Rattus norvegicus: one gene and its partner. The protein of the gene in region 1 purifies or fractionates together with the protein of each later gene. This does not show direct contact. Links are inferred from orthologs where the notes say so. Each region holds a gene or a part of one and is shown on either strand. Other genes may lie near its edges.

What was found. Proteins that work in one complex are often made in the same cells at the same time.
Region 2: the proteins of Tnfaip3 (region 1) and Tnfrsf1a purify together in Homo sapiens (affinity purification with western blotting; 7 studies listed by BioGRID, with this or other methods). This does not show direct contact. The link is inferred for Rattus norvegicus from reciprocal best matches to the Homo sapiens genes TNFAIP3 and TNFRSF1A.

Annotation. Positions count from the first base shown.
Region 1 is NC_086019.1:15,540,642-15,546,589, forward strand, and holds the start of Tnfaip3 (TNF alpha induced protein 3), read right to left. Parts: upstream 3,339-5,948; 5' UTR 3,126-3,338; intron 2,571-3,125; exon of another isoform or gene 2,367-2,570; intron 2,143-2,366; exon of another isoform or gene 2,001-2,142; intron 1,990-2,000; exon of another isoform or gene 1-1,989. UniProt on the Homo sapiens protein: Ubiquitin-editing enzyme that contains both ubiquitin ligase and deubiquitinase activities.
Region 2 is NC_086022.1:159,834,796-159,840,592, forward strand, and holds the start of Tnfrsf1a (tumor necrosis factor receptor superfamily member 1A precursor), read left to right. Parts: upstream 1-2,323; 5' UTR 2,324-2,559; coding exon 2,560-2,598; intron 2,599-5,797.

The sequences.
Region 1 (5,948 bases):
GGAGCGTGGGTACTGAGGAGGAGGGGAATAACCCATGCTTTCAGTAATGCTTGTCAGTGATCCAAGTCTGTCTCTCAGCGACAGGTACTGCTTCACACAGCCAACCTCACATCCCTCTGATGTCACTCATCAGAGTCCCAAGTCTAGGCTCACTGAAGACCCCCACCATTCAATCCTCCCTCTTGACTCACGTCTAGATTCAGGTCATTCGAACATCCCCTTTCTCGATGCTGCAAAGGCAGCAAGTAGTTTTGGAAATCCCGTGTGGCATCTAGCTGCTTGCTTGGTATTTCCTCTTTCTTATTGACCCCAAAGACATGTATAAATGCTCGGTTTATGATATTTATAAAGAGCCGATATTTATAAAGAGCCGACGCCAAATTGTTTTATAACCAACAACGGAAAAAAAAAAACAAAACAAAAACAGAAACAAAAACGAAGCTGATTTCTGGCCAGATCCTTCACAATCTTAAAAGCAAATAAACGTCAGCTGGATTTCAGAACCTTGCCACTGAACCTCACAGCGTGAGACAAATGAACAGAGGGATACTAAGGTATATCACACCTCCCAGAGAGGTGGGGGGGGGGGAACAGACACCAGCGCGCTCTATGACTTTAACTCAACTAGACCAACTTTTATTTATGGCTGCCCTTCCAGATCCCAATGCTCAGAGACCTCAACACCCTCCTTCCTTTACCATAAAAGATCGAGCGCAATCAAAGGTGGAGGAAATGAAATCAGGAAACGAACAGGAAGTATTGGAGTGGGGTACCACTCAGGACGAAGACTGGCCATATGACCACCCACGCCAACTATGCACGAATGTGGACTGATGATGCAGAGAGACCAATGTGGATCAATGGCCATCCAGGTCTGCTTCACTGTCCTCACAGACCCTCCTTGGGCACTTGACCACACATCCTAATTTCCTAGAAGACAGAAATGATATAGAGCACCTAGGAAATTTCTCAGCGAAGCTTAATGCCACTCCGGCACCATACTATCCTCCAATGCAAACTCACCAGGTTAAAATAAAAACGGTGTTAAGACTATGCAAGAGGGAAAAGAAATCGTAAGTTCTTGTTCCCTGCTTGGAAGGGAGGGGCTGCTCCTGGGAATTTGCATTGGGATGCTGAGGCCTGGAAGTTATTCTCTGTGCCTGATGACAGTTGCGCCTCGCAAGTAGAATTAGGCAGAAACATAGACAGAATGGGACAAAACTACCACACATACATCTCCTTGGTGATATAGCATGGTCTCTCTCACAATGTCATCACCCCATCCATGAATGGATGCATGCAAGCAGCAAGGCTGGACCACCTATTTAAGGCCAACCCTTGTGCCTGATGCGATAGCTAAAAATGTATGATTTCACTCCTAGCCTTGATATCTGTCAGACAACCCCTGCAGCTAAGGCAGTGATGGTCAGACCCATCTCAGGTCCAGCAGACGTAAGGATGCAGCTCTGCTCATAAGCCAAGTCTTCCTATTCCCCATCTCAATCCCTTGCTGGTCTCCTGATAGCAACCCTGGCGTACAGCATTTGCAGCTCTCAGAAACAGGCAAGGAGAAGTTTTGCATCAGTGAGCTGCACCTTGTTCTATTTTTATGGCTATTCTATTTTGCTCTTCTGGACCTCAAGAACTTTTAGCATAGATCTAAAAGTGGCGGGGGCTCTAAGCCATATGTAAGACATGCAAAGGTCAGTATCTGTCAGCCCACTAAGACCCCGTTCACGGACTCTGCCTTGCACTGCGTGCAAAAGTGCCTATTTAAGACAGAGCTTAAACCTCCCTCTGCCCAAGTTTCCAGTTCTTGGACTTCCCCACATTTAGAGAATAAAGTTTCCTGACATATCATTGTAATGTTTTATGGGTAAAAAAAAAAAATTAAAGCACTACCCTTAACTTTTAAAAATATATTTGTTACCTCACTCCCTTACAGATAAATTTCCCAATTTTTGTCACAGGATCAATAAGGTTCTTCAGAACTTACTCACCAAAGTCTTTCCCCCACTTTTATTTTTCCACTCTGAACAGATTTTTTTTTTTTGCCCGCGATGTGGAAACTTCTGTATTATTTATAAACAGATACCTCGGGCAATTGTTGGGAAGTACCCCTCCAAAAATCTATACAACGAGCTGCAAAAGATCCAAGTAGCATATCAGACCACAAGAATGAGCCCTGATCAACCGATAATAATCTGCTCAATAATCTAGGACATCAGCGTATGGAAGGCTAATGAACAATAATCAGTTCCAAACGGTGCCCCCCCCCCTCCACTTGACCAGACCAGCTTTCCAAAGAAAGATGAGAGAACAGGAGAACTAAAAACAAAGCATGCTCCAGAAAGAGCTCTTAATACCTCAGCTTTCCTGAGAGGCCAGGTGGCAGGATGTGGGACGAAGGACCCGGACTGACAAGTCACAGTCTGAGTGTGGAGTCAAGGCTGCAGTAGGGAGTTTTACATGCCACCAAACGTGGACTCCCCAGCAAGCAGGCCAGAGAATCATTTCTGCATGCATACTCTTATACCGGAGCAACTAGGGCCTTAGTGGCAATCTCAAAGCACGCCCCTCCCCTCCACCTCCCTCCCCGCAACCCTCCTCCCACATTGATCACTAAAAAGTTGGCTGGCTGAAGCCTCCAAGTTGGATTTGGTGGCCTCTGAGAAAACCATCCCCTGTTGGGCCAGTAATGCACAATATGGGAAGAAACCCCAGCGCGACTCTGCAAGGTCTACGTGCCTATGAACATGCTGCACTTGATTTCCAAAGGGGGGGCTGGAAGAGTGGGTACACCCACGACCACACGACCTAGGGACCCGAAGGGTGACTATTCATCAGCCAGCTGCAGCTCACGTCACCCTGCAGGATCGGAAAGGAATAGCTAGCTAACCAGACGGCTGGAGAAACTTAGGGCTGTCAACCTAAACACTTGGCACCCGGACCTCAACTCTGGCCAACAATACCCTCACCCCAGAACTCCTGCAAAGCCATAGCAAGACAGCTCCATACTGAGCTGGCCGTGCACCCTGAATCTGGCTGGCACTGCACCCCTCTGGCCGTGCACCCACCCCCCCTGTATCCTGCTAGCCGTGCACCCCAGCCGGAGTACTGCTCACCTCCTGGGGCCGCACGGAGCCCTCGCAGAGCCCAAGTGGCCGATCAGCCGTCACTGGCGCGAGCCGTAGCCGGGGGTCGTGGTTCGGGTCGTGGTGGGGGTCGGGCCGAGGCGGAGCCCCATGGACGCCCGGTCGGGCTCTCTGGTTGGGGGTGTGCACGTCTCTCGGCGGCCTAGCTCACCGCTCCGCCTCCGGCTCCGAAGGCTGCAGACTGGGCAGTTCCCTTTTTTTGCCTTTCAGTTGTATGCTTCGCCACAGGGGGATTTCCGAGGGACTTTCCAGTCACGTGACTCCCGCATGGCGAGCGGCCGGCCAGCAGAGGGCGCTCGAGGCCGTCCCCGCCCCGCCCGGAGAAACTCCTAGGTCCCGCCCCGGGGTGTCCCCGCGTGAGTCACCTGGGCATTTCGGAAGCTGCCTTCCACGTCACATCCATGTGGAAATAGTGGTGATGGGAACTGGAAATGCAATAGGTTCTTTTTTATAGCCTCTTTTCTGAAGAAAATCAGCTGTGAAAAGGAAGGGAAATTAGAAAGAAAACCCTAAAAACCACCCAGACACACAGGACCTCAGGCATGAAGCCGGCTTTGAAGTCTGGGCTGTGCACGTGATGGACTTAAGAAAGAACCGTTCTCAGGGTCCTGAGGGGATTGAGAGAAAAGGCCACAGGGTTCTCCAGACCCTGTGTCAGCTTCAGGCTGGATGCAATGCAGAGTGAGATGAGACACCATGATCCTGCAGTTTTTGAGTTACAGGGGCAAGGTCAAATTCAGAGAAAATTAAATTCACCTCCATCACCCCTACAACCCTCCATTTGCTCCGTTTCTCCTTTATTTCCGTGCTCCAAGGAGCATTAAGGTTTAGAAAGTGCTTCAAGTTTATTACTGTCTCCCCCCATCCTCTACAGTTGTTTTCTTAGGTGTTGTTTGGTTTGCCTGAGAATTAGTTCACCCCAAGAAGCCACTGGTGGAGAACCTTCCATATTGTCCTGATCCCCGACTACAGCTTGCCTTTCTCTAGAAGGGAGAAAGCTTCGGACACAGGGGCTTGAGCTCTGCAGAGAGAGAGAGAGAGAGAGAGAGAGAGAGAGAGAGAGAGAGAGAGAGAGAGAGAGAGATGCTAAAATGCTTTTACCTTCTTGGAGTTTTTCCTCTAGTGTCCCCTTGGCCGAAATCCTAGAAAACAGTAACGCAAACCAGGCAGATAGTCCGTGCCACTGTGACTTTAGGTATGTTCGTCAAGTTGCCAAGTTGCCAGGAAGTATACTGCACGTTTGAACTAGAAACATGTGTTCCTGTCCCCAGGAGTGACTGGGCTAGGTGACAGAGCACAATGGCATTTTTTAAATTATTATTTGTAAAGGGGGGCTTGAAGCAAGAGTACTGGCCACTACTCCAAGATTGGTCTATCCGCTAACTCCCCCCACCCCCTCCACATATCCCTCCACCTCCCCCCGACACACACACACATCCCTCCCTACACCGTTTCTATTTCAAATCTGGTAATATTTGTCTTCTTACAGATGTTTTCAGCTTCGGACACTCAAACAATGGTAGTAATTTAAGACGACATTCCTGAAGTATTTGTTACAGGTTCACATAAACTTTTATGTGAAATTTAGAAAACTTAAGCCACATGCGCCCACAGTCTACACAGTTTTTAGAACTGTGTCTGTCTTGTTCCAAAGCCCACCAGAGAGGGTTAACCACGTGACTATCTCAAGCCTAGGAATCTCTTTGACAAACACAGTAGCCTAGCCACAATAGATGCAGGCTCCACCCTCAGGAAACCACCAGGGCACACAGAGGTGATAAAAGATGCAGACTAGAAAAGCACACCACCTGGCAGAGGGTGTTAATCCTCAGACCGCTCTTCTAGGCCGGCTTCTGCAGACAGAACCAATCGGCTCTCTGTCATCTCAGACGGTTCCTCAGCAAATCCAGCAGCCTCCATGTGCCCATCCTGCTTCCTGTTTGGCTTCTAGGGTTGCTGAACTGGGGATTCAGTAAAGAAGAATAGCAAACCTGGAAGGCCAAGCCCAAACCTGTCATTCTCACTATCCCCACAGAACTACTGCGCCATCTTGCCTGCCAAGATTTGAGATTGGGCAGATGAAGAAGGTGAGCGGTAGGTGGTAGGTTTCTCCGTTTCCCACAGCTGAATGGTGCAACTCATCGATGCCTGCCAACCTTCCCCACTCTCCCCAAGTCTCCCCAACCTACCCTAGCCTCACCCAGCCTCCTCCAGGTCTTCCTAGCCCAGAGAAAAGTGTCTATGCAGTGAATGAGAAGGAAAAGACAGAAGGGGAGCGCATAGGAGTGCCTCTGACAGAAAATAAGGACACCTCAAGTCTGGGGAGGTTTGATGAGTGCATTGAAACTAATAAGAACCTTTCTTGATCAGAATAAAGGTTTGGAAGAGATTCCAGTTTCTGCCATAGATCTTCTCTAGATGTGCCGGGATCTGCAACAAGGGAGGAATATGTGTGGAAAAAATAGTGGAGTCATGGTAGAGAAAAAAAGTCTCTTTATAAGAGGAGAGAGGCATTCTAGGTGTGCAGAATGTTTTTTTGAGAATTTCTGAGTTTTGTATCATTGTTACCATGCCAGAATTTGTGTTATAACTGACTGTTGGTCTCTAGGAGCTAAACCATGGGATGATGCCTATTACCTGTATGAACCACACCATGATAGATAAGGATCTATCTTAGTGGGGGTCCGCACTCGCTGCTCTAACTCTGGTACTTGGGTGATGGACACGGGGAATCAAGAGTTCAAAACCATTGGTAGCCATATAGTTTAAAGGCTGTCTGGGCTGCATGGCACC
Region 2 (5,797 bases), on another chromosome or scaffold:
CATCCTCAGATTCACCTGTTTTTACCGTCTTCTCTTAAACCAAGTTTTATGGAGCACATTAGTACCGTGTTGTCTCAATGCTTCAAAGGTGCTAAGAAAAACCAGCGTTTATCCAAAGCCCTGAAGGAAATTCCCCCTTTGTGCCAGTCTCTGAGTAATAATGGCTTTGGCAGTTTTCATAGGCCATTAAAAGTTCCTCGTGATATTAAACATGGGACCTCGAAGTCGTTATTTGTTATTTACAAATTGTTGATATTGTGGATACTTAACATGTGGCAAACACTTGAATCTAACCACTGAACCAGCTCTGGGAGCTGTGTGTTTCTTGTCTATTTTAGTGTGTGTGTGGTGTGTGTGTATGTGTTTGTCTCTGTGTATGTATGTATATGTCTGTGTGTGTGTGCTTATGTGTGTGTGTCTGTGTTGTCTGTGTCTGTGTGTGTATGTATGTGTGTGTCTGTATGTGTGTGTATATGTGTGTATGCGTGTGTCTGTGTCTGTGTGTGTATGTATGTGTGTGTCTGTGTGTCTGTGTGTATATCGTGTATATGTCTGTATGTGTGTATGTGTGTATGTGTGTGTCTGTGTGTGTATGTGTGTGTGTGTCTGTGTGTATATTGTGTATGTGTCTGTATGTGTGTATATGTGTGTGTCTGTGTGTGTCTGTGTGTGTCTGTGTGTGTATGTCTGTGTGTATGTGTATTTATGTGTATGTATGTGTGTTTCTGTGTATGTCTGTGTGTGTGTGTGTGCTGGGGATGAGAGCCTCCTTTATGCTGGGGAAGCAGTCTACAACTGAACTACATCCCAAGCCCCACCTCCACTCCCCACCATTTATTTCTCCAGGCCTGCTCCCATTGATGCAGTCTGATGGAGAGAAGTGGGCCCCCAGCACCACCTCCAGCTGGTCTTCAGAAGCTTCACCTTTGGGGTAACAGAGGAGAGGAAACATCAGGGTTGGGGTCCTGGAGGTTGGAGGTCAGCAGTAGCTCACAGGGAAGGGCCAGGAGCTCTGTTTCCAAGTCCTCAAACCCTCGACCCCCTATTTCTTGGTTTTCCCTCCCTGTCTCAAAGTCTCAGCTGCTAAAGGACCTTGGGCTGGATGAACTGGCTCGCATAAAGGTCACTGACTCTCAAGGGCACTTGAGTGAGTGGTGTCCCGGTGTTATAGGGTTCCCTTGGGAGAAGACCCACCCGAATGGGGGTGGCAGGAGGTATCCATCCCTTGTAAAGGATGGCTATCAGAAGGTAAGGTCTTACTCAGAAGGGCAGAGAGAACAGTGGGGCCTTCCAACAGGAGCCAGGAATCCTGATTCTCCAGAGCTCTGCCTCCCAGCATGCATAGTTCTGTGACTTCTTTCTCACCCCTGAATGTGGTATAATCTTTGGGGTCAGTCCGAATGGATGCATCAGAATATCTAGAGCTTGCGTGGTGGTGCACACCTGTAATCTCAGCATGTAGGAGGTGAGAGGATCAGAAGTACAAGACCAGCCTCCTCTAGAGAGTGAGTTTGAGACCAGCCGGCTTGGCCTAAATGAACCCCAATTTCAAACAAGACAAAACTGTATGTTTGGGAAAGGGGCCCTGGGAACGAACCCTTTGAAACCTGAAGCATTTACAGATATGGCTTCCCGAATCCTCAAGGCTTCTCTTTCCCTATGTCAGAGAAGGCATTTTTACTCCAAACTAATAGCTGAGGAGACAACCAAGGCTTAGAAGGGGGGTTGTCTGACACCTGCACCCCACTCCCACCGTTGGTGGGCAAGCCGTGGTGGGTAGCTGGGGTATCTGTCTGGAAGAGACAAGATGAGAGTCAGTGGGAGGGACCGAGGATCAGAGCCCAGGCAGGGTACAAAAGTACATTTGGTTTCCCTCCCGGTTTGGGTTGCCTGGGTAAACTTCCAAGACAGTGAGATTAGAGGGAACTCTAGAGGGACAGAGAGCGCTAAGGAACAGAGTGCATCAGATACTGCCCTCCCTCCATACCCATGAGATCGGTAGTTTGTCTTCATTCGGTGAATTTGACAACAGGCTTGGAGGGGTTAGTCCACCAGTCTAAGTTCACCCACTTAAAAAACAGAGGAGTCCGAACTGGAATTCTGTGGATTCTCGAACTCTTAAGTGGTGTTAAGTAGGTTTGGGGCGCCAAGCTGTTGGGTCCCGGGCTACAAAGCGTTAAAGAACCTTGGCCCTCTCCTCTCTCCTCTAGTTCCCTCCTCCCTCCTCCCTCGCCGCTCCCCAGGCTCTTCCGGTCCCGCTCTTGCAACACCACCCCCGCCACTCTCCCTTCCCCTCCTACCTCCTCTCTCCCCTCGGCTTTAATTTTCTCCGAGTTTTCTGAACTCTGGCTCATGATCGGGCTTACTGGATACGAGATCCTGGAGGACCGTACCCTGATCTCCATCTACCTCTGACTTTGAGCCTTTCTAACCCGGGGCTCACGCTGCCAACACCCGGGCCACCTGGTCCGATCGTCTTACTTCATTCACCAGCGTTGCCAATTGCTGCCCTGTCCCCAGCCCCAATGGGGGAGTGAGAGAGGCCACTGCCGGCCGGACATGGGTCTCCCCATCGTGCCTGGCCTGCTGCTGTCACTGGTGAGATGGGAGACGGGAGGGAAGAAGGGTGGGCTGCTATCGAGGCGCGGCCTGGCAGAAGTAGGCTTGTACTTGGGGAAGGGATGGGGGCAGGGGCTTGTGTGCTTCAGTTTGCCCCCGAGTTTGCTGGGCCTCACCTGGGGCTGCCCTGAGATGTAGAAGGGAGAGATCTGAGAGGGAGAGAATTCGGCAAGCCAAGCAGGCAAGCCTTGGGCCTGACAGCGGAGGTCCTGGCCTGTGTTGGGCTGTGGCCATGCCAGCTGCCCGGCCAGTGGACTTAGAGGGGGCAGCCCTCTTTCTCTGGCAGAGGTTGAACAGCATGGGGCCGGATGTTGGAAGACTGAGCAGAAAGAAATCCGTTGGCGGGACAAGTTTGGGATAGCGTGCTTGTTGGGAGTGGACCAGAAACTGGACAGAGCTGGGCAGCCTCCCGGTCCCAGACTTCACCCTGAGACACCTTTTGCCCTTCTGCCTCCATTTCTGCTTCCAGATACGAGGTCTCCACTGGCCTGACCCTTCTTAAGTAGCTAATAACTCTTTACCTGGGCGACGTATCCTTTAGCTCCCTCCCCACAGACCCAAAAGTCAATCTCACAGTTTCCAATTCCACAGTTCCGATTGGGGAAGTTGGTGGCAGCTTGTTCTCGTCACTGGAAAATGTACTTTTCTCTGGCCTTGGCCCCGTGTTCGTGTTCCCTTGATTTCTGTGTGTCCATAATCATTCTGTGGGGATCCTCCGGGGCTCCCTGGCTGTCTGGGTGGGCTGTACCACCTGCACGGTGTCTCTGGTCCTGCCTCTCCCTGGCCCAGCGCTGCCCCTGAGACCTGCCTTTTTCTCTATGCCCTTTCTCTCTTCTGGTCAATCTCCTTTGTGCCCATTCCCTTCCTTTTCTCTAGGGTCCCAATCTAAAGCGGTGTTCCCAGAACCCTGTACCGATCCAGTCTGCCTGGTCTTACCTCCCTTCTCCCTCTCCTGCCTTCCAGCCTCACCTCACAACTTGTCAAGACTGCCCCTTCTGGCTATCCTCCAGCTCCCCATCCACTCATTTCTTTTCTCTTGAGGGGTAGATCATCTGGATTTAGGGCTCAGCCCAGCACCCTTACGGACATGTGATGTGACTCCCCTACGCTTTTGTTTCTCCATTTCCAAAATGTCTACAGTGATCAGTACCCCGTCGTTGTCAAGATTGAGTAGATGAATGTGTGTTGAATATTTATTAGTTTATTAATCTCCTAGGCCCAACTTCGGGTGCTAGGATCAGTGGCGAATGAATCAAGTTCAAGTTGGTGGACCCAAAGGGGAATGTATGCCACAAACAGAAAGGGCTCAGCGAATGCTTGGCTTCTCTTTCCTCATCTCTAGCAGTGTTAGTGTCACTACTCAATGGCCGTCCTCCTCTGACAGGCTGGGTAGAGGAGACATCCTGACTCAGTGGAGGAGGCCCAGGTGGTGACGGGGATACTGTGAACAGAAAGCAGAACCTGAAGACCAGGGACACGGAAGGCTGTCCCCCGCCTCGTCAGTGCAGAGCATAGGGCTGTGAGGTGTGCAGGTGATGATGAAGTGCTGAGGTCATGAGGCAGCAATGGACGTGGCAGGGATGTGGCAAGGCCAAGAAGACTTTGCCACTTTTTAAAGAGTTTGACTACAGGAGTGAAAATGACTCTGGCGTGATGTGATGTGCTTTCCTGGAGGCAGAGCTGGGGGAGGAGGTTGGGCTATAGGCCAACACTATCTTCTTGCTTAATGGCTTTTGCTTGTCTGCTGGGCTGAGCTTGCCTGCAGAGACCCGAAGGCTCATAGTGTATTATCTTTGGCTCACAGAGAGCTCTTGAAAGTGTGAGCCTTGTCCCATCCCCAGCACCTATCTGGGCCCTAGAAAGGAGACCTTGACCATTGACTAATGGCTTAATCAACTAAGGAATAAGAAATCGGTCAGATAGGAACAGGGGAATGTTGTATAGAAAAGAGGGCTTGGGACTGGCGTGCAGAAGCCAGAAGGAGGGAAGACAGAGGAATTGAGAGCCTGGATTAGGGGAACGGAGAGGTGGGACTCTGTGTTGGAGGTGGTTACAGGAGGTGAATGCCTCAGCTGGGGTGGAGTGGCCATGTTGAGGAATGTGACAACTGGCACTCTGGAGTGTGTGAAAAAGAACCTTGGGCCAGTCATGGTGGTACATGCCTGTTATCCTAGCACTTGTTAGATGGAGACAGGAGCTCAGGTCATGACTGGGTTTGGCTAGACAGGGAGCTTGAGACCAGTCTGGATTAGAGACCATGTCCTAAAACATACCAAAAAGAAATAGAGTCGTGCTTAAGGACCTAGGTGAGGGCCCGTTTTCCTCCCTCTCTTCCTCTCCCCCCTCCCTCCCTCTCTTCTTTCCTCCTTCCTTCCTCCCTCCCTCTCCTCCTCCCTTACTCCTTCCCTCCCTCCCTCTTCTTCCCTCCTTCCTTCCCTCTTTTTCTTCTTTCTTCCTTCCTCCCTCCCTCTCCTCCTCCCTGCCTCCCTGCCTCTGTCCCTTTCTTCCTCCCTTCCTCTCTTTCTTCTTTCCTCCTTCCTTCCTCCCCCTCCTCCTCCCTTCCTCCCTCCCTCTCTCCTTCCCTCTTTCCTTTGCTATTCTCCAAGCAGCCTGGCCAGACTGTGTTCCAATAACAGTGAGTTTCTCAGAAGTATGTATGTGCTCACAGAAGGATTTATCCATGGAAATGATTCTTGAAGCCAGACCCTGGAGGTGCAAAGGAAGATTCATAACCCAGTGGTACAAGTTGAAGCCTGAATGTAGATAAGAAACTATGTGGGTAGCCTCAGCCCCTGCCAAGGTTTGAGACAGGCACATCCCTTGAACCAGAAGGTTGATGTCAGCCTCAGCCACATAGTGAGGCCCTGAGACACCACTGTGGAGTGGTGTAGGTAGGAGGAAGGCAGTTGCAAAAAAATCAGTGCTGGGGTGTGGGGTAAAGGGTGGAGAGATTCCAAAAGGACTGGCAGGTGACTCTTAGGGCTGCTGCAGAGTTTGCAGCCTTGGTACCAAGAAGTTGGTGATGTGACATCTAGGTGAGGAGCCTGGTGAGCTCAGCTGGAGGCAGGTGAAGTAGGTCGCTGACTGGCTAAGTGGAAGTGTGGTTGTGCTGACTGGAGCAAGAGCTCTCTCAGCCTTTCTTCTAACTAATGCCAGCTGCACTGGCTCGCCAGCCGGA